Sus scrofa: one gene and its partners. The protein of the gene in region 6 purifies or fractionates together with the protein of the main gene of each other region. This does not show direct contact. Links are inferred from orthologs where the notes say so. Each region holds a gene or a part of one and is shown on either strand. Other genes may lie near its edges.

Region 1 (4,015 bases), on a different chromosome or scaffold from region 6:
TAGAGGCCTGTTTAGGCTTAATCAGCTCTACTAGCGGAGTTTACCTAAAATCTCCCTTGGTTTGGGAGTCTCTTCCAGAGGCTAAGAAAGGACAGTGAGGGTCCTCCCGACTCCAACCCCCATCCCTATCCTCCCAGTTAGCCCCAGTTACAGATAGATGTGTCTTAGGGAGGCCTATGGTCCCACACCTCCTTGATAACCAATCTCTTCCTGGCCTTGGCGAAGGGTGGGCCCAAATGGCTCCACTTCTGAAAACCCTTCAATCTGTCAAACGGGGGGAACGATAATGCACCTGCCTCAACTCCCTCTCCAGACTGCAGGTCAAACCAAGTAGAAGTTAAAAGTTCTTAAACAAGGGAAATCTTCACTCCAATCAAAACGAGAAGGCCAACATTTGAAAATGACTTCTTCCCCCTTTTCAGATTCAGACAATTTCCAATTTTAACCCAATGAGAGGAAAAACCGTTTTTGCAAACTCGTGATTTTCACAGGGCCCAAGGCCCAGATCCTCAAGATTCGAAATGCTCCAGACGGTGAGACTTTGTCTGGTAATTATTCTATTTTATAATATTTCAAGACTTGAAGACCCTTTTAAACAAGGTGGTTGGTGATTTACCCTGCTCCATCATTAGTGGCTTGGCCTGCTCTGTAATTACAGGCAGTGATTAGAATCTTATATTACACCACAGGACCCCCTTCAGAACTAAACATCAAAATTAATCAGCTAAATGAGTGCTGACCTCACATGAGGTCTGCTGAAGGCCCCCTCAGAGGGGGTTCCAGTTGGGCGAAGCCAGCCCCTAATCCCAGCAAGGCTGGGCCGGCCTGCCTGGGGATCCTGGTGGGTGTCCCTGGAAGCTCTTGCATCATCTGGTGCTTCCCCCCACCTCTTGCTGCTGGGGACCCTTTAATCCACTCGCCCCCACCCCAGATGGAGGCTTCCAGGAAACTGAAGGAAGGCCTGAGGCCCTCTCTGGTGAGACCGACAAATGCTCTGTCTCTTCCACCTGTTTCTGAACATCAGAGAGGCCTGGCTTGGTGAAGCCACGTTTAGGGCCCAACCTCGATCCTTCCTTAAATCCTTACTGATTTACATTAAGGCCTTTCCAGCCTCCAGCTTGTCCTCCCTACACACTGTGCTGGCAATGTGGGCTCCACAAATGCCAGGGCCATCTGCAGGAATGACCCTAGGAAACCAGCCTGGAACTACCTTGTTTTCCCCAAAAAAGTAGCCCAGAGAGGGCTGCTGAGTTGCCCAAGGTCACGGAGCAAGTTGGCCAGCAGGATGGAATGGGTTCCCAGCGACACTCCTAGCCCGCCGCTTTCCTCACCCCTCGGGGGGCTGGCTAAGTCCCTGTGGCCCCTGCTCCAGACCTTGGCCCAGGGTGACTCTGCAAGTGTCTGCGCCCGGCGGTTGCAGATGGGCCGGCGGGACGAGGGGCCAGCGCGCGCGGGGGGAGGGGCACAGGCCGCTCTTGCAGGCGCGGGAAATCGGTGCACCCCGACTGCATGCACCGCCACGCGGGTGCACCCGGCCCCACTTCCTGCCAGAGGGGGCACCCAAGCCCGCCTTGGGGCAGGAAACCTGGCGCGCGCAGAGAGGAAGAAAGCCACCACCCTCTGCGCCCTCCCCGCAAAATAAAAGCCCCAGAAAAAAAAAAAATGGAAACGGGGAGTCAAAGGGACTAGTTCCAACAGAGCCCAGCAAAGCAGAGAAACCAGTTTGTGGGGGCGGAGGGCAGGCCGGGCCCTGGGGGCTGAAGAGGCGCGGGCCGGGCCAGAGGTGGGGTCGGGGTGAAGCCCCAACCCCCCTTCCCTACGATTCGGCCTCATCTGCGGAGTAAGGCCGAACTGGAGTTAGGCCGAATTGCGGGGTTCCTGCCTATCCGCCTCACTTCTAGAACTTCCCAAGGCTGCGGGGGGCGCCCGGCCCCCCACTCTCCTGCGGCGCCGCAGCCTGTTCCTCTCCCCGCCCCCAACATCCCGGGCCCCGGCTCGGGCTCGGGCGGGAGCGGCGGCCGCGCGAGGTGCACCGGGCTCTGCCGGGTGCAGAACTCGCGCTCGCCGCAGCCGCGCGCCCCCCCTCCCCCACCGCGCGCCTTTCCCGGGTCCCCGCCCCCCGCAGGGCGCCCGCGGCGCGGGGGAAGGGGTGCGGGCGCCCGCCCCGCGCCGCCGGGCCCAGCCGCCCGCCCCCGCGGCCCTCCCCCGCCGGCGGCTCGCGCAGCCCCGGCCTGGGAATAAAGCCGGAGGCGCGCGCTGCAGCCCCGGGCGGCTCGCAGGAGGGGCGGCGTGCAGCGGGGGCGCGGGCGCCCCCCTCCGCCGCCGCCGCCGCGGGCCCCGGGGACGACTCACCGCGAGCTCGGCCGCCGGCCTGCGGTGCGCGCTCCGGGCTGCCGGGAGCGACGGTGCTGGGCGCTGAGGACCGGCCTGGCTCCGCCGCCGCTGGTAGCAAATGCGGATCTGAAACCGGGAGAGAGAGCAGAGGCGCTCAAGAGACCGCCGCCGCCGCCGCGTGCTCGCCGCCCAGGCCCCCGCGGGGTATTTATATGTCACATCCAGGCAGGAGGACAAAAATATTCCCCCTCCCCCGAAGGATGGCGAGGGGCAGGAAGCTAGGCACGGCCCGTGCGCGGCCTCAATAAATAAATAATTTAATTAAATGATAGATATAAAAAAAAAGAAGCCACCGAAGGGGCCGCGAACTCACGCCTTCTTGGAGCCGCGCCAGGGCCAGAAATAGCCCGGACTCGGAGTCCCAATTAGAGGAGCGCAGCCCCGGCTCAGGGGAGCTTAAAAAGAGCGACCCAGGGGCAGGGGGGACGGGCCCGCCCGCGCCAGCCGTGTCACTGAGGGGGGCGGGACCATGCAAATGAGCCCGGAGATTTAAAAGGGCGGCCGCCAGCCAGCCGCCGTCGCGCGGGTGGGTGCTGACTGCGGGGAGGGGCGTGCGGTGCTGGGCGTCTGGGGGCGGGCGCGCGGGAGGCCTGGGCTGCGAACCCGAGGCCACGGCCCAGTCTTCACGGACCCGGGCCGGGAGACGTGGGGAGCTGTTGAGAGGAATCACCAAGGAGCCCATTGCCGGGGGAGGGCGTCCTCACTCGTGGAAACGGTGTCCCGGGGAGAGTCACCTCTAGGGGCCTGCCGGGCGTGTGGGCCAGGGGCGCGTGGACGTGCGCGGGTGGCAAGGGTGGAGAGAATCGCGCAGGCTGGAGAATTCCGCGGCCTACCCGCTGCCACCTTCGCCCAGATACGCGGCTCCTAGATTTCCCCTGGGCGGACAGGTGTCAGCCTGTGCATTTCGGGGCCAATCCGCGTTTGGCTGGCTGGTGAAATAGGGGCCTTGTGAAATTGACACGTGAAACTTGTGAAATCCAGAGTTTAAATTTTTTAATGGGCCCGAGTGAACCACAATCAAGGTGCAGCCCTAAAAGCGAGGCAAACGATTGGCTCGTTTGCAGGCAAACCTGAAGGAGTCATTCCTTTAGGTGACCCGGATGGTGTTTGGGAGACAAGCGGTCCTACTTGGTGCCCTGGCTCCTTCCGCCGTGACTCATTTTTAAAATAGCGGGAGCCGGTGGTCGCGTGGAAGCGCTTTGAGGGCAGGGACTGGGTCTACGCACGCGGTACCCGCCACGCCTGGCCCGCCCGGCGCAACAAAGACTTGTTGCACGAACGAGAAGGAAACCAAAGTGGGAAGATGGCGGGGAGGGCGGTGGGAGAAGAAAGGGCGCTGTCAGAGGCGCACCCTGCAGGCCGGGCCGGGGGCTCCTCGGGCGCACCTCCCCGCCCCTGATCCCCGAGGCGGCCTTCCACACCTCCCGTGAGGCAGGGAATTGCAACGCGGCCCAGTGACACACGGCTGTGACTCATGTTTTTCTTTGCTCCCCTTCTTCCTCCCGGGTCGGCCGAGGCCCCGGCCCAGCCCCCTCCTCAGGGGGCGAGCCGGCGGCGGAGGGGGAACGCCAGGAAAACCCTGAGCGCGGCGTGGAGGCGGGGTGGGGAACCAGAGGGGCCG
Region 2 (4,120 bases), on a different chromosome or scaffold from region 6:
AAACACAGACACACCTCCCTAATTCTGCCCCTCCAGTCAGCCAGAAGAGTATCTCCTTTTTCACTCTTCCCAACCAGCTTTCCCACTTTCCTCAGGGGGGCTCCTTCAGTGAGAAGAGAGGTCAGGGAAAGTCCGACACAGAAGGGCTCATTTGTGATGACTCTACGAGCCCCAGCCTGGGACCCCAAACTGTTTCATGAATTAGCAGCAAAGGAGCCCATTTCAACCCAGCTCCGGTCTATTTCCAGACAGTGCTGCACAAGGCAAGTCGGCTTAGCCTGACAAATCTGGCTGCACTTATTTATAGCAGGGAGAGGTCCTGCAGAGGTATGTGTTGGCAGACACACTAACCAATGGCTTCTGCTACTATCACCAAGTGACAGGACTTTCGTGCAGAAGATTCAAGGAGGCAGACAACAAGCCAACGTGCCCACTACTCCCCCCTAAAAAGGCTGCTCTCAGGCACCTTCTCTGTGCTGTGGCCAGACACAACTCAGAGCTCACTGAACTGACCCGAGCAGTGCCTGGTGTCTCTTCAACAAGTCCGATTCTCTGGTTTCAACTGCATCTTGGGCAAGTGACATTCTCTGTGCTTCAGGGACAGTGAACAAAGTGGGGACAAAAATAGAGACCTGGAGATCCTCTGCCATAGAATGGCTTATTTCTCCCAGTGATGGTCTCTACAGTTGTTCCCTTTTATTCTGGAGTCACGTGTGGCCCTGATTGGGTTTCCTCTGGCCTCACTCCCAACAGGCCCGCAGCATACCTCTCCTCTCCGCGCTCCAGGCTCAGGCCCCAATCAGGGCTGGCAGAGAACTGCACCCAGTCCCAGCTCAGCCTCCAACCTTTTGTAGCTCCTTTTCCTCCTCAGAAGTCCTAGTTTCTTCACATGGGATGAAGTAAAAGGGTTATGACAACTTTAAAGGACTATTCACAGGTGAGGCGATAATCCCCACCAAAATAGCAGATTTCCAAACAGAGCTTCGCGGGACTACCTGCACACCTTCTTCCAGAGCCCAGGGCTGGTCCAGGAAAAGAAGTCCTCCACCCCAGTGGCAAAAACACAGCCCAGGGAGCTGGCCTGGCACATGCAGTTCTGGTAGTGCTAGCACAAGTGCCTGCTCAAGTCCAACACACAAAACTGTCCCCCTGCTTCCTACCTGCCCTGAAAGACTGCTTATCAGCACAGAATCGAAGACTCTTAGCCCAGGATAAAGTGAGGGGAGGGGGCAGCAGCTTTGCCACCTCAAATTTTTGAAGGAATTGTGTTTCAATCATCCATCCTGCTCTTTCTGCAGGAGCCCCAGCCAGTGACCAGGCAAGGGTCTCTAACGGAGCAGTCCCCACCACACGCATGGAATGACAGCAACTTCCCTCAGGTCCCCTTTACAACCTCCTTGGGCTCCTACCCCCCCCCCCAACTGTAAGCCCAAGGTCACCCAGTTAGCAAGTGGTGGAAACAAGATTGGGATTCATCTGATGCCAGGAATCCGTCTTCTCCACCCCCTGCATCCTGTCCCCCACCATGGCTTCCGTGGCCACGGGCTGTCGCAAAGCCCCCTCCACGGGGGGTGGGGACCTGGATGGAGAAGGACCCCCAGGGTCCCTCCAGAGCCCACGAATTTGTGGCCACAGCTTCTACTCACCGTCAGCCGGCTGCTGGAAGTTGACGTAGGCATAACCCAGGGAGCGGCGGGTGATCATATCGCGGCAGACCCGGATGGACAGCACAGGCCCCGCAGGACTGAACTTTTCGTACAGCATGGCCTCGGTGACGTCCGAGTGCAGGTCACCCACGTACAGGGAGGCCATGGGGTAGCTGCTGGCCGCAGCGTTCATCTCCCCAGCCCCCACCACCCCGAGCCCCGCCAGGAGGACTTCTTAGAGGGCCCGCTCAGGACAAAAGGGGCTCTGCTCCGAGCCGTGGCCCGCGCCGCGGCTCACAGGTGGCAGTGAAGCTCAGGGAAGCTGGAGTGGGCTCCAAGGGCCCAAGAAAGGAGTTCGGGGACGGCCCGGAGACTGCCAAACCGCAGACAAAAGGCTCTCAAAAACAATATGGCCCTCCCTGGGAGTTTGTAATTTTCAGCTGTCCTGGTCCGAAGCTCCCAATTTCAACCCAAGCAAAAAAATTAAAACGGGGAATCCCCTCCAAATTACAAAAATTCTTCTAGAGGCAACCCAATGGTGCCCACAGCGGCCTCCGGGACACACGTTTCTCTATAAATATAGGCCTCCGGCTCCAGGCGGTTTAAGATTACAGCAGCCCGGGGACGAGGGAAACCAAATATTTGTCGGTGCCGACTCGGCAAGCCCCGGGCGGCCGGAGCGCGCAGCCGCCTCCCACGCCGGGCCGGCGAAGGGCAGCGCGGACACGTGGTGCGCGGAGGCCGGGGCGCAGGGGGCGAGGGCGGCGGGCGCGGGGCTGCCACGCGGCGCGGCCGGGCGCGGGCGGAGGCGCGTGGACGCGGGCGCGCGGGCGGCTCACCACCTGACCGACGGACTGGGACCGACGGACGCCCAGGTGCGGCGGCGGGCAGGCCGGAAGCGCGCAAAAGTGACTTCCCCGCGGGTTCTCCGAGGAGGATTCGCTTTTTTTTCTTTCTTTCTTTCCTTTTTCTTTTTTTTTTTTTTTTTAAGGTTTTAAAGCGTTTTCGGGTTTTTTTTATCTTTTTCTCTTTTTTTCTTCAGGCTGCTAGGCCCGAAAGCGACGAAGGCTACGGCGACCCGGGGCGGAGAGAGGCGGCTGGGGGAGCCACCGCTCCATTTATACCCGCCCGCCCCGGGCGCTGCTGGTCGAAGGGCGCCTTGCGACCTGGGCGCAGTCGTGCCCGCCCACTCGGCCCGGGGGCCCGAGGCGGGGCGGCCACGCGAGAGCGTCCGGCTCGGCCGCGCGGCGCCACAGCGACCCCTGGCGCGCGGAGGACCGCCCCGCTGGGGCCTCCGCCGGACCCAAGGGTAGCTTTGCCTGCTGCTGGTGGAATCGGTAGAGTGTAAGCCACCCGCCTCTCCGGGACTAGAACACATGGATAGTGTGACCCACTCACATGCATCATGATTATAATCAATGTTTTGCCTAACTGTAAAATAAAGAAGACACAAAATAAATTATAGTCATGTAATAGGTGCTCCGCTATGTAAACAATTGGGCCCAAATCAAGAAGACTTTCTGAAGTTTTTAGAAAACTAGATCCTAAAGATGGAATCATCCCAAATAGGACAGCTACCAATGCAGTAGTAGCTGGTGATGGGATTCCCCAGAAAGATGAACAAATTTTGGGAGAGCTTCAATTAAACAAAATACAGTCATCCTTCTATTTACATGGTAGTGGTATCCCTGGAATTTAGTTCATGTTAAAATATGTTCTGGGGAGTGTCATTGTGGCTCAGTGGTAAGGAACCCCACCAGTATCAATGGGGATTCGGGTTCAGTCCCTGGCCTGCTCAATGAGTTAAGGATCCAACTGTGCTACAAGCTGCTGTCAGATGCAGCTCAGATCCTGTGTTGCTGTGGCTGTGTTATAGGCCGGCAGCTACAACTCCGTTTGGACCACTAGCTCGGGAACTTCCATATGCCACAGGTGTGGCCCTAAAAAGAAAAAAAAAAATGTCCTGGGAAGTTCCCTTATGGTGCAGTAGGTTAAGGATGAGACATTATGGCAGCTGTGGCGCCAATCACAACTGTGGCAGTTTAGATGCCTGGCCTGAGAATGTCCACATGCTGCCAGGGCGTGGCCAAAACAAAAGTTCTGTTTCTCTGTAAAAGTGAGTGAGGATCAGAGTTTCCGTTATGGCTCAGTGGTTAATGAATCTGACTAGGAATCATGAGGTTGAGGGTTCGATCCCTGGCCTTGCTCAGTGGGTTAAGGATCCGGTGTTGCCATGAGCTGTGGTGTAGGTCGCAGACGCAGCTCGGATCCTGTGTTGCTGTGGCTGTGGTATAGGCCGGCAGCTACAGCTCCAATTCGACCCATAGGATGGGAACCTCCATATGCCTCAGGAGTGACTCAAGAAATGGCAAAAAGATAAAAAAGAAAAAAAAAAGGAGTGAGGGTCTAGACTCTAAATTTTAAAAATATTTCTCCTAGAGTTCCCATGCAGCTCAGTGGAAAGGAATCTGACT
Region 3 (3,815 bases), on a different chromosome or scaffold from region 6:
GCTGAATACAGCAGGGATTCTCTCCTGACATGTGAAGGATTAGGAACTGAAACAAAGGAACCTGACCAAGTGGTGCAGGTTCTGAGCAGGACAGCCGGCCAGGAACGCACTGCAGATTTCTACAGCTGTGTGCCTGTGCCACCACGTCAAGTTTTATATTGCCTCTACTTAGAACCTGACTATAGGAAGATGCTTAAGTTCAGTCCCCATCTTTAACCGCTCTCTGTGGCCCTGAGCTAATGTTTTTTGCCCACACAGGTCAGGTACAGTAGAAGAAAAGTTTCATGTCCTTCCGGCAGTAGGGGTAAGAATGTTGCTGAGAGAATGTGGGTAGGTGGGGGTAGAAGTGGCACAGTAGCTAGCCAGAGAGAGGATGGGCCTGCCATGCTCCTCACCTTCCAGGAAACTGGAGCTAATTCCTCCTCCTGGTACCCAACAACTGATAGTTCACTAGGGGAATGACAGGCAGTTTTTTAGAGGAAGCCTTTTAAAATTGTAAATCAGACACATTAATTATAATTTTAATATAACAAATGTTATTAGAAGCAGCAATTCAAAACGATAAATCTTTTCAAAGGTGCACAGGGTTATGATAAGGTCAGTTGGCAGTAATGCAGCTATTATCAGGTATGAACAAAATGCTGGGGTGTGGTGGGGTCAGGGTGACCTTGCCAGGCCTTATGCAGACCTCCACGTGGGGAAGACACTGTCTTCCTCCTTCTCTTCAAGCCCAGAGCCTCTGAAGCCTGCTTCAACAAGCTGTGCTCATCCTACACTTCCTCAGAAGCCTGGAAAGCAGGCCTGGGAGGTTGCTGTGCTGTTGAGCCAGGCAGGAGGCCACTGGGTGGATCTGATCCCACACCCCAGCTGGGCTGGGGGCTAGCTTCTCAGCTCCCTTCCACTTGGCTCCAGATGGGGGGCTTCAGTGGCAGCAGCTGGGGGGCTGAGAAGGGAGAGAACTGGGCCCAATCAGCTTATCCCTGCCTGGACCATGCTGGGGAGCAGAGGGAAGTGGGGGGGCTGTGTAGAGGAAGTGAGGTCCCAGTTGAAAGGCACTGTTTGAGCTGAGGTTTGAGGCAAGGGGCACCTGAGCTATTTCAGGGACCCCTTGGATGCTCAGAGATGGGGGGGGGGTCAGCCAAATAATGGAGAAAAAAAAAAAAAAAGCTCCAGGCCTGTTCCCACCCCTTGTTCATCCACCTTCACCTTGCAGCTGGCAGCCTCCAGAACCCAGCCAAGCTGGTCCCCATCTGGCACATCCTCCCCTAGTCAAGGCACTTCTTTCCATTTTCAAATCAATTGAATCAGTTTCTAATACCTCTGGAAGCAGCAAAAAATCAGGGGTCTCCTCCCCCTCCCAGTTTTGGTCTTCCTACACATGGGTCTGAGTTTTAATGTCAGTTCTAAGAACTGTTTATACTCCTACTAACAAAGACTTCCCTTTGAGGGGACTGAGTGACTCAAGCCCTTAAAAAAAAAATCCTAACCTGCCCCCAAAAATGATTGTCAGTTTCAGGGCGGGGCAGGGGAATAAGGAAGAGGGTAAGAGTCCCCTGTGCTTCCCTCTAGGGTCAAAGCTGGTTCACGGGCAGGAGCCAGACTTTCACATTTAGTTATAGCACATGGCCCTAGGAGAGGGCCAAAGGAAAACCAGGGGCAGGAGCCAGGCTGGCACTCAAAGGAATGTGGGGTTATGTGTGTGGTGTGTATGCACCTGGAGGTGAAAACACACACCTGGTTGGAAGTTGGTGTGTGTGTTGCTGGGGTCTGGGGGTTGGAGGCAGAGGAGACAGTCTCAGGTGTAGCAGGACAAGCTCCCTTTCATTCTACTTCCTCTCAGCCCTCAGGTTTGCAAGCTCAGGGCCAGCCTCACGTAACAAGGGATGTAGCAGGAGGGGGGAGAACTTTTGTGGATCTCGGAAGCTGACAACCACAGCCTTCGTTTTTAAGTCTTAATAACGGGGCTCTGGTGCTGGTGCCTCCTGATCACTCAGAACCTGAGGTCTCAGAGTCTCTGCCACACCGCCTCCAGAGGCCTCCCACCCTCACCCCCTCTTCCGCAGGGCAGAGGAGGGACAGGAAAATGGGAAATGGGCTCCTCGGGGCCTCCACTTACCCATCTTCACCCAGCCTTTCTTAGATTTCCGGCGTGTGTGGTCCCTGGGATGGGTCAGGTGTGAAGGACATCCAGTGGAGGGTTGGGTGTATAGACACAACACACCCAAAAGGGGAAAGAGAGGTAAAGGGACACACTGGGGACAAGGACTCAGGCCTCAACAGGCCACAGAGCCAGCAGGACACTAAATCAGAGGAACAGGTAACAGTCTGAGGAAGTGTGTGTAGACACCAAGAAGTAGCCAGCGAGACCTCAGACGCAGGCAGAGGGGGGTGAGCCAGAGGTGGCCAAGAGCAGGAGGGGCACAGCCCGGGCCTGGCAGGGAGGCAGGCAGGCGGGGCTTTGGCCAGGCACTTGCAGCTCTGCCCTGCTTCCCTCCCTCACCCCAGCCTGGAGAGAACTAGGGAGCCTGGGGCTTCCACTGTCTCTCCTTTGGTTTCCAGGGTTCCTGGCATCCCCTGGGGCTGGTCAGTAAGGGGTGGTCCCTTCCCACTCCACCAGGTACTGAACCTTGCCCTCAGGCGTGACCCTGCGAGCCAACACCTGGTACTTCTCCCCACAGGCTAACCGCCCAGCCGCGCCAAAATAGTTGGTGATGGATGACTTGAGGTGGGACAAGGATGAGTCATCTTCACTGATGCTCTCGAACGTGTGGCTGTCGATGCCCTCGTCTGGCCGCTCAGGGCCCGAGGCCCCCTCTGCACTGCTGTCCGAGGGGCAGCATCCACCCAGCTCAGCCGCCCGCCGCTTTGCCCGCAGTGGCATGTATGCTTTGGCTGCCAGCTTCCTCTTGCGGCTGCCCACTGTCCGTCTGCATCAGAAGAGGAAGGGGGAGGAAGACAGGAGTGCAATGGGGTTCTCCTCACAAGTCCCTGTCCCTGGCCACAGATTATCTCACTGGATCCTCACAGCAGCCCTGAGGAGGCTCCCGAGGAGAAACCACCAGCTGGGGGGTGGCAGGGCTGGGTGCAGACCTAGGGGTGTCCACCTCCAAAACCATGTTCTCTTTGAGGAGCTTAGCATCCCACAAGTCCAGAGGCGTGGTTCTCTGCCGCTTGAAGCCATGCGGTGCAGAGGCCCTGCCTGCCCTCTCTGCCCCTCACCTGGACTCCTGTGTCACTAGAGGAGTCACAGGCGTGGCAACCTGGAATGGAGACAGATGTGTGTGTCTCCCCACAACCCCACAGGGACAGAAAGAGGCAGAGGAGGAAGAGAAACACACAAGAAGAGGTATGCATTCACAGATGCTTAGAAACAGAGCCAAAGAGAAAGGGAAATGTAGAGGCAACAGCAGAGACACTTAGAGATAGTTGGAGACAAGACCCTTCAGTAGGCATACTTTTCATCCTACTTTTGCCAGGGCCTCAAGTATCCTACAATACAGGTAAAGGAGCCTCCATCTAGAACTTGTCTGTGTGCTTTGTGCCACCATCCTCCCCATGCTGCCTACGACTACTTATTGCCAAGCAGGCTGTACATACCCTTAGCTAGATCCCCCAGGGATTTCTGGCCCCTCTCCCAGACCCTACACTTTGCAGGATGCCCTCTTCCCTCTATCAGGGTCAGAGGACCTATAGCCAAAGGCACAGACATTGCAAAATCATGGCAAGCAGAGGCCAAGAACCTCAGAATGAAATATCTGAAATTGCCCAGCAAGAAACCACATAACCTGCAAGCAGGCAAAGAGGAGTGGCCTGAA
Region 4 (3,500 bases), on a different chromosome or scaffold from region 6:
TCTGTCCTTCCGTGTTTTAACTGAATTTTTTTTTTTTTTTTTTGGTCATCTTAAGGCCGCACCTGCAGCATATGGAGGTTCCCAGGCTAGGAATCTAAGTGGAGCTACAGCTGCTGGCCCTACACCATAGCCACAGCAACGCCAGATCCGAGCTGTGTCTACACCACAGCTCATGGCAATGCCAGATCCTTAACCCACTGAGTGAGGCCAGGGATCGAACTCAATTCCTTATGGATACTAGTCGGGTTCGTTAACTGCTGAGGCATGACTGGAACTCCTTAACTGAATTTTATAGAAGGATATTCATATTGATATAGAAGGTATGGTAGAAGAAAACCTTGCAAGGTTGTTCATTAAAAATTTACTTGAAAGCTCACTAATTTTCTGTTCTAAAGCTTTACTTATGGTTAAATGTACTAGTGTCTGATAAAACTATTATGCTATGCTCTCTTTGGTATATCATTGAATATATGCAACTTTTATTTTTATTGTTAGGAAGACTCATCGACCAACAGTCTAACAAGATGGCAAAAGAAGAAATGCTGCAAATGATACGTCATGGAGCCACCCATGTTTTTGCTTCTAAAGAAAGTGAGCTGACAGATGAAGACATTACAACTCTTCTGGAAAGAGGGGAAAGGAAGGTTAGTTAAAACGGCAGTTCATGATGGATTGCTTTAAAATTAACACACTTCAGCATGATTATTGTATTGTGTTATTTCAAATGCATGTTTCAAACTGCATATTTCAAGTGACTCATGCTCTTCCTAAGAATTTGTGGATTTATGTACAAGGGTAATTACTTTTTTTTAGTTTAATTTTTGGTGAGAAAGACTAAGAACCAGAGTTTAAAAATGAGTGACCTTATATCTGACACTTTTAATGTTGGTATTTATTCTTCTTAAAAGCCAGATAAATTTTGTGTTTGATCACATGTATCAGGACTTCACTTGTTTGTTTGTTTGTTTGTTTTTCTTTTTAGGGCTGTACCTGTGGCATATGGAAGTTCCCAGGCTAGGGGTCGAATTGGAGCTGTAGCTGCCAGCCTACGCCACAGCCACAGCAATGCCAGATCTGTGTTGCATCTGAGAGTTACAACATATATTACAGTCCCTTAACCTACTGAGTAAGGCCAGGGATTGAACCCAAACCTCATGGATGCTAGTTGGGGGTTCCTTTTTTTTTTTTTTTTTGTCAGAGCTGTACCCATGGCATATGGAAATTCTCAGGTGTTGAATTGGAGCTATAGCTGCCGGCATATGCCACAGCCGCAACGCACAATGCTGGATCTAAGCTGCATCTGTGACCTCCACTGCAGCTTATGGCAATGCTAGATCCTTAACCCACAGAGTAGGGCCAGGGATTGAACCTGCATCCTCACGGGTACTAGTTAAGTTCATTACCACTGAGCCACAATGGGAGCTCCACTAGTTGGGTTCTTAACCCAATGAGCCACAATAGGTAATCCAGGACTGCATTTCTATGACTTTTTTTTTTCATGGGATTAGAAATTATCTGCTGATACATTGTGTTAACTGAAAACCTTTTGTGAACATTTTGTGAATTATTTGTTAAAGTATATTTTGTATTTGTTAAAGTATGTTTGTATTTGTTAAAGCATTATTTGTTAAAGTATAATAAGCTGTTTTAGAATATTACAGTTTTGTGATGAATTTACCTTTTTCACGAATTATGGATAATTTCAAACTAAGCAAAAGTAGACAGAATAGTGTGATGAACCTCCATGTACTTAATACTATTTCCAACAAACATCAACCAGCCCTGCTCCATTTACACCCCCAGTTCCATGGATTTCTAAAAAATAACTTTCGAAACACAATCATTAAGGGACTCTCCCACCTGAAAAGTTCCAGTAATTCTTTAACATCAAATTCCAGTTGGTATTCAGATTTCCAGTTATCTCAGAAGTAGCTTGCTTTTAAAAAAATAGGGCTATATGTAGGGTCCATACATTGCCATTGGTGGATACGTTATCTGTATCTTTTTAATTTATTTTTGATTTTTGATTTTTTTTAGGGCTTCACTTGCTGCATATGGAAATTCCCAGGCCAGGGGTTGAATTGGAGCTGCAGCTGCTGGCCTACGCCATAGCCACAGCAATACTGGATCGGAGCCGTGTCTGCGACCTATGCTGCAGCTTGCAGCAATGCCAGATCCTTAACCTGCTGAGTGAGATTAGGGATCAAACCTGCTTCCTTGTGGATACTAGTCAGGTTCTTAACCCGCCTGAGCCACAGGAACTCCTGTATCTTTTTTAACCTGTAGGTTCTTCGTCCGTTTATATATTATTTCCCTTGTAATTTATTTGGTGAAGGAACTAGATTGTTTGCCTTCCGAGTTGCTCACAGTTTGGATTTTGCTCCTTCCATCCCCATGGGGTATTTTATCATGTATGTCACTTATTTGCTGTATTTTCTGTAAATTGGTTGAATTTTTACTTTCAGACTATTTTTTGTTTCTGATGATATATATATATATATATATAAATATATTCATATGTACCACATCCATATATTTACAGTATATCCCCAGGACTTATTTATTTTATAACTATTCACCTGCACCCCACTCCTGGCAACCAACCGATCTGTTCTCTATATCTGTGAGTTTGGTTTTCTTTTTTTCTTTTTAGATTCCAAATATTAGTGAGATCATATGGTATTTCTCTTCCTCTAACTTATTTAGCATAACCACCTCAAGGTCCATCCATGTTGTCACAGATGGCAGGATTTCCTTCCCTCTTACGGCTGAGTGGTATTTCACTGTATACATTATACACCACGTTTTCTCTATCCATTCACTCATCGATGGATGCTTAGGTTGTTTCCATGTCTTGGCTGTTGTAAATAATGCTGCAACAAACGTGGGGGTGCGGGTATATTTTGGGAGTTCGTGTCTTGATTTCCTTCAGATTAATACCCAGGAGTGGAATTGCTGCCTCATACAGTAGCTTTATTTTTAATTTTTTAAGGAACCCCCATACTGTTTTCCAATCCCACCGAATGTATAAGGATTTCCTTTTCTACAAATCCTCACCAACACTTATTATTTCTTGCCTTTTTGATAATAGCTATTCTAACAGGTCGAGGTGATATCTCATTGTGGCTTTGATTTGCATTTCCCATGATTAGTGACATTGAGCACTTTTTCATGTATCTGCGATCATATGTTGAATTTTGAGCAATCTTGTGTGTGTTTCATGTTAGCATGCAATATGTGTTGTTTAATCCAAGTGTGCCTTTATTTTAGCATTAGCCATTTGTCCCATTAAAATTATGCCACAGAAATTATAATATGGCTATATCCTCAATAATAAAAGATTTTAAAGAAAGCCTAAGTGAGAACACTTCAGAAGAATCATTTAAGTATTTAGAATACTTGGGGCTGGAGTTGCTGCTGTGGTGCAGTGGGTTAAGGATCAGGCATTGCCGTAGCTGTGGTGTAGGTAGCAGCTACGGCTTGGATTCGATCCTTGGCCT
Region 5 (3,086 bases), on a different chromosome or scaffold from region 6:
TCTCTGCCTTGGTTCCCATACGAGAGGTCGGGAGGACGGCATCTTGTGTTCTCACTTCACACAAACAGAAAACCCAGAGCAGCCTTTCTTGAAATAAACCCTAAGGTGGTGCTTAGCAGCTGTTCAAAACTGCTCCGGCACTTCGCTGGTTTGTCTTCGCAATGTTGCGAGGAAGATTCTCCTTTGATTCTCTACAGCAGACATCTACAGCCTGGAGACGGCCGCGAAGCTGGGAGTCAGGCTTAGGCTGTGAACCCAGGGGGCTCCGGAGCTCCTCGCAGCGTGCAGGTGGTGGCGGCCGGAGCACGAGGGTAGGTGCACAGTCCAGATTTCGTGGAGTCTCAGGACACAAGGAAACCCTTGGTCTTCAGCTGCACTGTCCCAAGGCTCCCGTCGGACACACCCACCTGCACCTACACCCACACTGAACCAGAGCACTAAAATACAAGGAAACTTTTATTTTCAATTTTTGTCAAGAAATTTGCTGTGGTTTTTTATGCTTTTGGTTCTTTTCCTTTTTTTTTTTTTTTTTTTTTCCAACTTTATTTCATTCTAGCCGCTCAGGGGCTGGAGCCGCTGGGTTCCTGGTATTAAAAAGATGCCAACAGAGGTAGCTGTGTCTCGCCCAGGGGCCCGGCCCACTGTGAATACCCCCCAAAAAGGAGAAATGAAAACACAAAATAAACCAACAAAATAAAACCAAAAGGAGGAAGAAATTCAGATCATTTTCTTCAAGCCTGGCGGGAACCCACAACAGTTTGTGTGTAACAGACGTTACAGTGGGGAGAAGCCAGGGCCCAAAAGGCCAGCCCGCCAGCTCCCTGCAGATGGCGCCGGCGCTACTGCTGCATGTCTCTCCAGCAGGAAGGGCACCACTGCCCCTCACTCCCTCCCCTCCCCCAGTGCACTGGGGGCTGTTCCTCTACAGCTTGGAAGATGGGGCAGAAGGGAGGAGAGGGTCTCTCAGGCCCCCAGGGGAGAAGCTGGGCAAGGGAAAGTGAGGAAGGTCACTGCTCAGCGGTGGACGTGGTATCATCCATCTGGATCTTCACTGCTGCTGGGCTACCTAGAGAAAGAGAGAGCCAAGAGGGTCAGAATGTCAGACCCCAGGAACCCTCCTGACCCCAAAGGAACTCACTGGTGGACCAGCCCCACCTGCCCAATGTGTAAAGCCAGGGACAGACAGCAACGTTACAAGTTCCAGAGTGGCTCTGCTGGAACAGATGGCCAGAGGAAAATGGTCCTATACCTGCTGTGGAGTCGGTTCAGGTGCCCGGTTTGCCAGGCGGCTGAGAATGTTACGCTCGGACATCTGTAGCCTCACAGCAACTGGGGGAATTCGGGCAATAGTAGCTGGGAGTCGAGTCACATCGGCTTTCATGTCACTCAGCAGTTCTTCTAGCTGTTTCAGAACTGCATGGGGGGGAAAAAAGGCGGTGAGCCGTGGTGGTCAAGACCTAGGCCCATCTTATAATATGTGGACCGGCTTTCCCATCACTTCTCAATGATCAAGTGACGTGCTGGAGTGCTGTCTTGTCAGTCACCTGACCTGGCTCCACCACGCTCAAATTCCTATTCCTCATATTCCAATTCCAAGTGTCCATGATTCTATGTTTTAAAGTTACCTCTGTCTCTTGATCCCTGTCTCTATCTCCATCACTTTTATTTTTTCTTGACTGTGCCTGCAGCATGCAAAAGCTTCCAGGCCAGGGAGAGAACCATGCCACAGCAGTGACAACACCAAATCTTTAACCACTAGGCCACCAGGGAACTCCGCCACTTCTTAAATAGCTATTCCTATTTCTTTCCTCTCCACTTTTGGAGCTGTCTCCCTCTTCCTTTATAACAGCTGCCTTTTCCTCATTTCACCCTCCACCCCCTCACAATGTCTTACCTTTAATTAGAAACAGGATGTTGAAAGGGGGTCTAGAAAGCACAAGATCGTAAATAACCTGAAGTTACCTCTAAAGTAGCCCAGATAACACTATGTATTATTCTGGGTTGCTCTCCACCTCTCCAAAAAGCTGAGTATATTCAAGAAGTTAAGAGGCAAAGAACTACTGTCCTTGATTGCCTGTGAGATATTAGCTTCCTGAGGAGGAAGGCAAAGCTCCCCAAATGTGTTGGGGAGGGACAGAGAAAGAAGGAGGCTAAGTCAGCAGGAGGCAGGGGAGCCACTGGCTACCTTTGTGCAGGACCGCATTGGCTGGCTTGTTTCCTGCCATTGACTCCTTGGACAGGTGCTGATGACTCTCCGCCAAACACTCCACCTCAGCAAAGCGGGTGTTCAGGGCCATGGAAGGGTGGGAGGGGTCCTCTGACATGTTCAGGTAAGCTGCCCGACGCAGCTGTTCCTCAATCACCAGGGCTTGTTCTAAGAGCTGGACAAGGGATAAAGAGATGGGCATTGGAATGATAATTCACTTGGCTTAATTCTGACGGGCCTCTGAGAACCTGTGAAGAACCTTAGGAATGGCTCCCTCACACCTGAACTGGTGTTCAACACCAATTCAACATTACATTGGCTTTTTTATCCCTCTTTGGTGGTCCAAGTTTTTTAAGTTATCTTACTGATTCACTTTTACACAAAAATGATAAAAACTCAATTTAGAAAATACAGAATGTATAAAGCATCAAAATCACAATTCTACCTCCTAAAAACAGTTAACATTTGATGTGTTTCCTTATATTTATTTTTTTATGTATTAAGATCCTATGTATTTGGAGTTCCCGTCGTGGCGCGGTGGTTAACGAATCCGACTAGGAACCATGAGGTTGCGGGTTTGGTCCCTGCCCTTGCTCCGTGGGTTAATGATCCGGCGTTGCTGTGAGCTGTGGTGTAGGTTGCAGACGCGGCTCGGATCCCGCGTTGCTGGGGCTCTGGCGTAGGCTGGCGGCTACAGCTCCGATTGGACCCCTGGCCTGGGAACCTCCATGTGCTGCGGGAGCGACCCAAAGAAATAGCAAAAGGACAAAAAAATAAAAAATAAAAAAAATAAAATGTATATAAAAAAAAGATCCGGGAGTTCCCGTCGTGGCGCAGTGGTGAACGAATCCGACTAGGAACCATGAGGTTGCGGGTTCGG
Region 6 (3,500 bases):
GATGAGCATACTACTTGTACATCATCAAATGATCAATACATTGCATATATAATGATTATGATGACTGTCCAGGGAAACCCACAACTCCTATGTCCTTTCGCTAGCCAAGGGAAATAAGGATGTAGAAGTGCAGGATTAAATGCTACAAAAAATATCCTAATTTTGATTATCCTACCACTGAGGTGATATTTAACCAAAAAAATTTTAAAAAAAGGACGGAAGGTTTATCTGTGTTCCACGGTTTTTGAAAAATGCTCTAATGGCTGCACACAAACCTAACAGATAGACGTACCTTCTCGGTTCTCCTCTAGATCTTTCTGCTTTTCTTCTCTTTCATCAGGATCATCTCCATCATCGTCATCATCATCGTCATTGTATTGACCAAGAGCATTCACCAGCTCCACAAAAATTTCATCATTTATAAACCCACATTCTGAAATTCATCAGGTCAAGTATCAGAAATATACAAGGGTTTTCATGTTCCTTTTCTACTTTGGTAGAAACAGCTGGAGCCTACCAATTAGCACTATAACATTAATATTAAAGTGTAGGGGCAAGATCATTTTCAGGACTGCATTGAGGCAAAGTAAGAAGTAGAATTTAACAACACTTTTCATTTTCACAAGTTTTCAGAGCCTGCTACAACAGCCTATTTCTCTAGAACCTAACTATGGCCTTTTTTCTCCAAACAATGTATCTTGACAGACCTTGCTGTCTATTTGCTCATGATGGTAACGGATGAGGAGGTTACACATCTGACCCTCCTGCCAGGCACTTTAACAGGGTTCTTCAGTTAAATTACAGAAGCTGTGACTCTATTAGCAGAATTTCAGGTCCTGCAAGGTGCCTAGTCAGGAAGGTATTTTTGAGCATGTCACATAAACAAAGCCCTATTCCTAATTAATTTTATTGCTAAGGAATCTTAGGCTGGCAAACCCAGGACAGTCCAGCAATTTTAATATTAAAAAAAATCTTTTTCATAACTACATTTCCCCCAAAAAATCAAAATATCAATTCTTTGACCCCTTTTCCAAGGGAATAAACACAATACTCACCTCTATCCCCATGTACTTTCCCATCATAGTTTTTAATTAGTTCTTCAATAAAAGTCCCATCCTGGTCTAAAACTTCATCCCCCATATAAGGAATGTTATGTAAAACAGTTTCATCTTCTACCTAAAAGTAAAAAAAATAGATTTAAACAGCAGGCTTATCTTAAGTATCAAAAAATTTTTAAGGGAAAATGTAATATAACTAAAATACAATAACATTTTTTCATAAGTAGATGTCTGTACCCAGTACTTCAGAGCTAAAAATAGACAACAAACTTTAAAAGCTACAAATGAAAGGCCCCCCCTCATCAATAAGCATATCTGAGAAAACAAACTGTTTACAGGTGAAAAAGTTTTAAGAAAAAATATTGTATTACCTAATGTAGTATGTCATCAATCATTACAATCATTATTTTATGTACCTCTAAGAAATGAAAAAATGCTGCAAATTACAATATGACCCATCATCAATTCTTAGATACATTTTTATTTAAAAGTGTCTCTGGAGTTCCCATTGTGGCTCAGGGAATTAAGAACCCAACAAATATCCATGAGGATGCGGGTTCGATCCCTGGCCTCAGTGGGTTAAAGATCCAGCGTTGCCGTGAGCTGTGGTGGAGGTCACAAACATGGCTGGGATCTGGCACTGCTGTGGCTGCGGCTGGCAGCTGCAGCTCCAATTTGACCCCTAGCCTGGAAACTTCCATATGCCACAGATATGGCCCTAAAAAAGCCAAAAAAAAAAAAAAATTGTCTTAGGATCAATGAAACATAACTAAATCAACTAAAAATAACCATACAAAAAAAGAAAAAAAAAAAAAAAAAAGGAGTTCCCACTATGGTGCAGTGGGTTAAGAATCCGAGTCCCTCCAAGTCCCTGCGGAGGCCTGGGTTCAATCCCCTGCTTGGCACATTGGTTTAAGGGATCTGGCATTGCTGCAGATGTGGCATAAGCACAGATGCAGCTTGGATTCAATCCCTGGCCGGGGAACTTCCATATGCGTGGATGCGGCCATAAAAGTAATAATAATTCTAGGAGTTCCCATCGTGGCTCAGGGGTTAATGAACTCGAGTAGGATCCATGAGGACATGGGTTTGATCCCTGGCCTCACTCAATGAGTTAAGGATCTGGCATTGCCGTGAGCTGTGGTGTAGATCGCAGATGCGGCTCCGACTCGACTCCTGGCCTGGAAATGTCCATATGTCGCAGGTGCAGCCGTAAAAAGACAAAAATAATAATTTTTTTAAAAAGAAAAAAAAGCTAACATTAAGTAAGGATCTCCAAACTTCACTTGACGATCTTATTCATAAGAATCATTTAATATAATAAAATTCTAGAAATGTAAAACCAAGTATTGATGGTCCATTAGAGTTTATGTCAGGGAGTTCCTGTTGTGGCTCAGCAGAAACAAATCTGACTAGTATCCATGAGTTTGCAGGTTTGATCCCTGGTCTTGCTCAGTGAGTTAAAGATCTAGCATTGCTGTGAGCTATGGTATAGGTTTCAGACACAGCTCAGATTAGACCCCTAGCCTGGAAACTTCCACATGCCACAGGCGTGGCCCTAAAAAGCAAATAAATAAATAAAGTTTATGTCAAAAGAATTTACTCCTATTCATAAAACAATCCACAGCAACAAAATATTTCAATACTAAGATAAACAAGATTAATATCACAACTGCTAGTGGTAATATAATAAAGATGACAGATGAGTTTATATCAAGGTTTGGAAGACAACAGGGAAGAAAGAGGGTAATAGCTTAGCAAAGAAGAGCCAATCATAGAAAAGTTCAGAGAGAACACAGTATTTAAGAAGACCAGGGACAGCAAGCTGACGTTCATTGGGTGAGAGAATTTTCAATGAAGAACTAAAAAGACATTATAGATAATTATAGATAAAGACAAGTTTCTCAAGTCTGTATCTAAATAAGGAGATTAATTTAAAACAAGGATAGATCTGAGTCTTAAGAGGCCTTTAAACGGGGAATTGGTTAAAAACAGAATTTTAGAAAGATAATTCTGATAGACAGAATGGACTGGCTAAGACAGGAGGACATGGCAACTATTTAAAGCATGAGGTGCCCACAGCTGGCCTGCAATCTATGGGAGGAGGGGATACTGAGGAAGGGCCATGAGACACAGAGGGAATTGTCAAGTAGGAGCAAGCAGAAAAGGGTTCGAGAAAAGGGAAAATTTGCAAATAAGCCCTACATATCAAATTTAGGACACCTGCAAAGTACATAAAGATAACAGTACCTCAGACAAACAAGGAAAAGGAAAACTGGGACAAAAAGTACATCTGGGGTATAAAACGAAAATTCAGGGGTTAATATGTTGCCCTATTCAGACTCAAGCTCCTATCCAACTAATGAGTCTCACTGTCATCACATCTCACTTGCACTGATCCCATTTAAACTAGGAAAGTTATTTCCCACACAAACCAAAATC
Region 7 (4,041 bases), on a different chromosome or scaffold from region 6:
TCTATTTCAAAACTCTAAAACGACCGATGACAAAACAGAAAACTAGTCTTTTTGATATTCCAGGAACAAATGATAAATCTCACCAAACCAAGCCTTTAGGAGATAGTCCCTCTTCTCAAGACCATCTTCATCAAGGAAAGATGTCAGCTTCCCTTTAAATTGAGCTGCTCTCCCAAAGTTCAATTAACAAAAGAAAGTGTTAACAAGATTCAACACGTAAACAAAGAACGAGGCCAGCCTCCCTTAAAACAGAACACTTGAATATGAAATTCTCTCAGAAAGCTTCCAGTTCTCAGAAAGTTTTCTCCTACCCCCTCGGATAAAGATCCCACATTTGCCACTCAATAAGAAGCTCAGTAAAATAATTTCAATTCTGCAAAGCGAACAGGGTCAAAATTACTCAAGACAAACACATCTTCAGAGCCATCAAAGAAGTCATTTATACCATCAGGAAAGTCACAAAACCAAAACAAACAGCAAACCCATTGTAGAGAAAAACTCAGCTAGTGTTCTGACAACACAGAATCTATTTCAGGCTGCATAAAACATAACAAGCAAAATAAATCCAAGGTACAAGCAAAATGCCACTGCCTCCTCTTTTGTTTCAGGCACAATGTAACAAGGGCAGCCTGTCTGGGGCTCTGCTCCTGCTGATACAGTATTGCTGCTTAAACCTCCCTCCTCAAGGTCACAGCCAATTTCAGCTCTGGAATAAAAAGCAGATAGTGGCAGCGATGGTTTGGGTTATCACTGGCAGAAAAGCAGAGTGTAAAAGTTTATGAGCTCATCAGGATTGTTGTACCATTACATCAGAGGCAATTATAAATGGCCAAGAGCAGGAGATGGGGAGCCAATCAGATCACAGATAGGATGTCAACCTAAGACCAACTGTCTCCTGGCTTTGACAGAAGGATTTTACCTCCATAATTCAAATCCCAAACCAAAGCAATCTGCACTTACTACTCCAATCACTCAGCTGTTTACCAGCACTTCCAGGGAGAAGCCCAGGCCACTGGGCGGACAGAGACTAAGACAGGAGACGGCCCGGGCTGCCCTGGGTGAACCGCAGCCGGCCTCTAGCTGCCCCCAAGCAGGCCCCTGCCCAACCTCGAGGTCCCCCGAGCCCGAGGGGCCCCTCCTCGAAAGCACACTTAGGGGACGGCCCAGAGGAAGGTGGGGGGGGCGGGCAGAGAAGAGCAGCAGGTGAGCAAGAAACTGTTCACCCAACTCCCGAGCTCCTAGCACTGCCTACACCCTATCCTGACCCCCCAACACCCCCTCACCTCGGGCTGGGCCCTTTCCTGCACACTCTGCCCCGCACCCCCTTGAAGACCCCCGGAGCTGGAAGGGACCAGGGTAGAGGGAGAAGGGAAGCAGACACTTCTGGGAAAGCCCCACACAAAGGCTGAAGGGAGGGAAAGAGAGGAAGGCAGACAGGCAGCCATTTTAAGAGAGAAGAGCCAGACAATGGCAGCTCCCCAGCAGTGGGGGCCTCGGACTGGGGGTAACCCACGGCTCGGGCCTGCTCCCCGCAGCTGCCACCCACTCCCAGGACCCCGTTCGCCCCAGCCCCCTCCCCTCTCAGCCATGTACCTGCGGGGTCCGGGCGAGCGGCTGCCCCCCGCCGCCGCTGCTCCCAGGGCTCATGGGCGCGTGGTGGCTCCTTTGTTGGGCCCCTCCCGAGGCGGCCGCCACAGCCGCGGCAGCAGCAGCAGCCCCCCAGCACTGCGAGGCCATGTCCGCCGGGCCCTTGCCCGCGCCTCCGTCCTGGGGCCCGCCGCCGTAGTCGCCCCCAGGGTAGCCCTGGTAGCCCCGGGCCGAGCTGGGCGACGTGAGCAGTTGGTTGAGGGTGGGGGTGGCGGTGGGTTGGGGGGTTCCCCCTCCGGCCGCTGAGGGGCCGCCTCCCCCCATGGCCCCGAAGCGCTGCTGAGCGAAGGACGAAGACGACGAGGAGGCGGAGGCGCTGGAGGAGGGAGGCGGCTTGGAGCCGGCGGCCGCCGCCGCGCCGGAGCCCGGAGTGCCACCTCTCGGGGAGCTCAGCGCGTAGGCCTGGGGGGGCGGGGGGTAGGCGCTGCGGTTGGGGTAGTAGGAGTTGTACTGGTGGTTGGGGAAGCCGTGGTCGTGCGAGTTCTGCTGGGGCCCCGCGTAGGGCTCCAGGCCCCCGCCGCCGCCGCTCTGCAGCGCTGCCAGGCCAGGGCTTTGTTGTCCGCCATGTTGTTGGTGGAAGACGGCGGCCGCCGCGGCGGCGACGGCAGACGGGCTCCGGCCGTAGGGTTGCCCGAAGCCGTAGGCTGGGGGCGGCAAGGCGGCCGCCGCTGAGTGAGGAGGCGCCCCCACCCCATCGCTGCTGCCGCCACCGCCGCCGCCGGGCGGCTCCGTGAGGTTATTGTTCAGGGCGGGCCTAGGGCCCGCGTTCCCGTTCGAGTTCTTCAGGTCCGGCTCCGCACCGGGCCCGCCGCCGCCACCGCCGGCTCCGCCGCCGCCGCCGCCGCCACCCCCATTGCTCTCGGCCCCGTCCTGCAGCTCCTTTCCCAGTGGCTGCGGCGGCCCCACGGCGGGGCCCTCGCTTTCCTGCCCGGCGGCTGCCTTCATTTCCCCGCGCTCGGCCGCTGCCGCCGCCGCCTCGCCCCCCGCCTCCTCCCGCTGCTGCTGCTCCGCTTTCTTCAGCTCCGAGGGCGGCGGCGGCGGGTTGCCCAGGTTGCTGGCGGCGGCGGGGGCGACCTGCGCGGCCATGATCCCCGCTGTCTCGTCCGCGGAGAGACCCGGCCCTGTCTTCGTCTTCTCCCCCCTCCCACCCCGCCCCGGGGCCGAGTCCCCCGGGCTGCCCTCCCCACCCGCCCGGGCGGGCCTCGCGGGGCTCCGCTGCTGCGCTGCGCTCGCTCGCTCGCTCCTCTCCCCCCCGCCCCGCCGGCTCAGGCTCCGGGCTGGCGGCGGCGGAGGAGGAGGAGGCGGCGGCGGCGGCGGCCGAGGCGCCGGCGGCTCAGCTGCTCCCGGCTCTGTAGGCTCGGGACCCGGCTCTCCCGGCTCATTCCCCCCAAGCCCTTGCCTGGGAATGAGGGGGGCGGTGGAGGCTCCGCTCCCCAGGGCCTGGCCCCGCTGTGACTCTCCGCTTTCTGCTGCCGGAGAAAGGAGGAGGGAGGGAGGGGAGGGAGGGAGGCGAGGGGGAGGGGGGCGGGGAGGGAGGGAGCGGGGGGAGGGGGACCCGGGACGGGCGGGCTTGAGGGCGCGCGGCAGCAGCCCCGGCGCCGGGAGGCAGAGTCGGAGCGTGGGCCGGGCCGGGCGTCCTGCCTCCCCTCCCCGGCCTCGGCGCGGGCTGAGGCTGCTGCGCGGCAGCGGGCGAGCGAGCGGGCGGGCGGCCGGAGTGAGCGGCTAGAGCGCCCCACTCTCCTCCGAGTCCCCCTCACTCCGACACGAGGCTCAGCACTGCCATTTTACCCAGCGCCGTCGCGGCCTCCTGGCAAACCCGGAACGGAGCGCGGAGCGGGCGCAGGCCGTGGAACGGACTCGCTCCCTTCCCCTTACAAAGGAGGAGGGGAGAGAACCAGCCGCGGCGACGGCAGGCCCTCTGCCGCTTTCGCTCGGCAGCGCCGCCGCCGAAGCTTCGGGGAAAACCCGGCCCGGAGCTCACGCCTCTCCGGAGCCTGTGTCGCCTCCCTCCCGGCGTTCCTCCTTCTCCGGGTCGGTCCCTTCCAGGCCGCGCGGAGGTGAGCGGGCAGTGTGAACTTTACTCGCGGCTGCAAAATTGGCCTGAGCCCGAGACCGCGGCCGCCTCGGCCCGGGCCTGACCCCCTGGCAGCCAGCCTGGTCTCTTGGCTGCTACTTAGCACCTCTACAGCACTTTGCTTCTTCAAAGCCTTTTGCAAACCCGCTCCAAAGACCCAGCTGAGCCTTACATTTTTATCCCCTTTGCAACCTGCATGAAATGACAGATCACTGTTTCAGACGTTCAGTTTTCCCACTCCTCTGCCCTCATTAGCTGGTCCTCACAAGGCCCTGGGGGCATGAGGTCCATTATCCCCATTTTACAGAATCTTAAGACTT

What was found.
Region 1: the proteins of EZH2 (region 6) and HMGA1 purify together in Homo sapiens (affinity purification with mass spectrometry; 3 studies listed by BioGRID and IntAct, with this or other methods). This does not show direct contact. The link is inferred for Sus scrofa from reciprocal best matches to the Homo sapiens genes EZH2 and HMGA1.
Region 2: the proteins of EZH2 (region 6) and PABPC4 purify together in Homo sapiens (affinity purification with mass spectrometry, with the first as the bait; 3 studies listed by BioGRID). This does not show direct contact. The link is inferred for Sus scrofa from reciprocal best matches to the Homo sapiens genes EZH2 and PABPC4.
Region 3: the proteins of EZH2 (region 6) and PHF19 purify together in Homo sapiens (affinity purification with mass spectrometry; 10 studies listed by BioGRID and IntAct, counting the BioPlex papers as one, with this or other methods). This does not show direct contact. The link is inferred for Sus scrofa from reciprocal best matches to the Homo sapiens genes EZH2 and PHF19.
Region 4: the proteins of EZH2 (region 6) and SMARCA1 purify together in Homo sapiens (affinity purification with mass spectrometry, with the first as the bait; 3 studies listed by BioGRID). This does not show direct contact. The link is inferred for Sus scrofa from reciprocal best matches to the Homo sapiens genes EZH2 and SMARCA1.
Region 5: the proteins of EZH2 (region 6) and CHD4 purify together in Homo sapiens (affinity purification with mass spectrometry; 5 studies listed by BioGRID, with this or other methods). This does not show direct contact. The link is inferred for Sus scrofa from reciprocal best matches to the Homo sapiens genes EZH2 and CHD4.
Region 7: the proteins of EZH2 (region 6) and ARID1A purify together in Homo sapiens (affinity purification with mass spectrometry; 3 studies listed by BioGRID, with this or other methods). This does not show direct contact. The link is inferred for Sus scrofa from reciprocal best matches to the Homo sapiens genes EZH2 and ARID1A.

Annotation. Positions count from the first base shown.
Region 1 is NC_010449.5:30,319,191-30,323,205, reverse strand, and holds the start of HMGA1 (high mobility group protein HMG-I/HMG-Y), read right to left. Parts: upstream 2,801-4,015; 5' UTR 2,708-2,800; intron 2,461-2,707; 5' UTR 2,353-2,460; intron 1-2,352. UniProt on the Homo sapiens protein: HMG-I/Y bind preferentially to the minor groove of A+T rich regions in double-stranded DNA. It is suggested that these proteins could function in nucleosome phasing and in the 3'-end processing of mRNA transcripts.
Region 2 is NC_010448.4:95,396,651-95,400,770, forward strand, and holds the start of PABPC4 (polyadenylate-binding protein 4), read right to left. Parts: upstream 2,801-4,120; 5' UTR 1,840-2,800; coding exon 1,647-1,839; intron 1-1,646.
Region 3 is NC_010443.5:260,898,962-260,902,776, forward strand, and holds the end of PHF19 (PHD finger protein 19), read right to left. Parts: intron 2,928-3,815; coding exon 2,585-2,927; 3' UTR 501-2,584; downstream 1-500.
Region 4 is NC_010461.5:106,077,927-106,081,426, reverse strand, and holds part of SMARCA1 (probable global transcription activator SNF2L1), read left to right. Parts: intron 1-495; coding exon 496-644; intron 645-3,500.
Region 5 is NC_010447.5:64,102,627-64,105,712, reverse strand, and holds the end of CHD4 (chromodomain-helicase-DNA-binding protein 4), read right to left. Parts: intron 2,382-3,086; coding exon 2,186-2,381; intron 1,414-2,185; coding exon 1,250-1,413; intron 1,067-1,249; coding exon 1,049-1,066; 3' UTR 501-1,048; downstream 1-500. UniProt on the Homo sapiens protein: ATP-dependent chromatin-remodeling factor that binds and distorts nucleosomal DNA. Acts as a component of the histone deacetylase NuRD complex which participates in the remodeling of chromatin.
Region 6 is NC_010451.4:109,426,516-109,430,015, reverse strand, and holds part of EZH2 (histone-lysine N-methyltransferase EZH2), read right to left. Parts: intron 1,177-3,500; coding exon 1,056-1,176; intron 434-1,055; coding exon 293-433; intron 1-292. UniProt on the Homo sapiens protein: Polycomb group (PcG) protein. Catalytic subunit of the PRC2/EED-EZH2 complex, which methylates 'Lys-9' (H3K9me) and 'Lys-27' (H3K27me) of histone H3, leading to transcriptional repression of the affected target gene.
Region 7 is NC_010448.4:84,048,488-84,052,528, reverse strand, and holds the start of ARID1A (AT-rich interactive domain-containing protein 1A), read right to left. Parts: upstream 2,801-4,041; 5' UTR 2,734-2,800; coding exon 1,594-2,733; intron 1-1,593. UniProt on the Homo sapiens protein: Involved in transcriptional activation and repression of select genes by chromatin remodeling (alteration of DNA-nucleosome topology).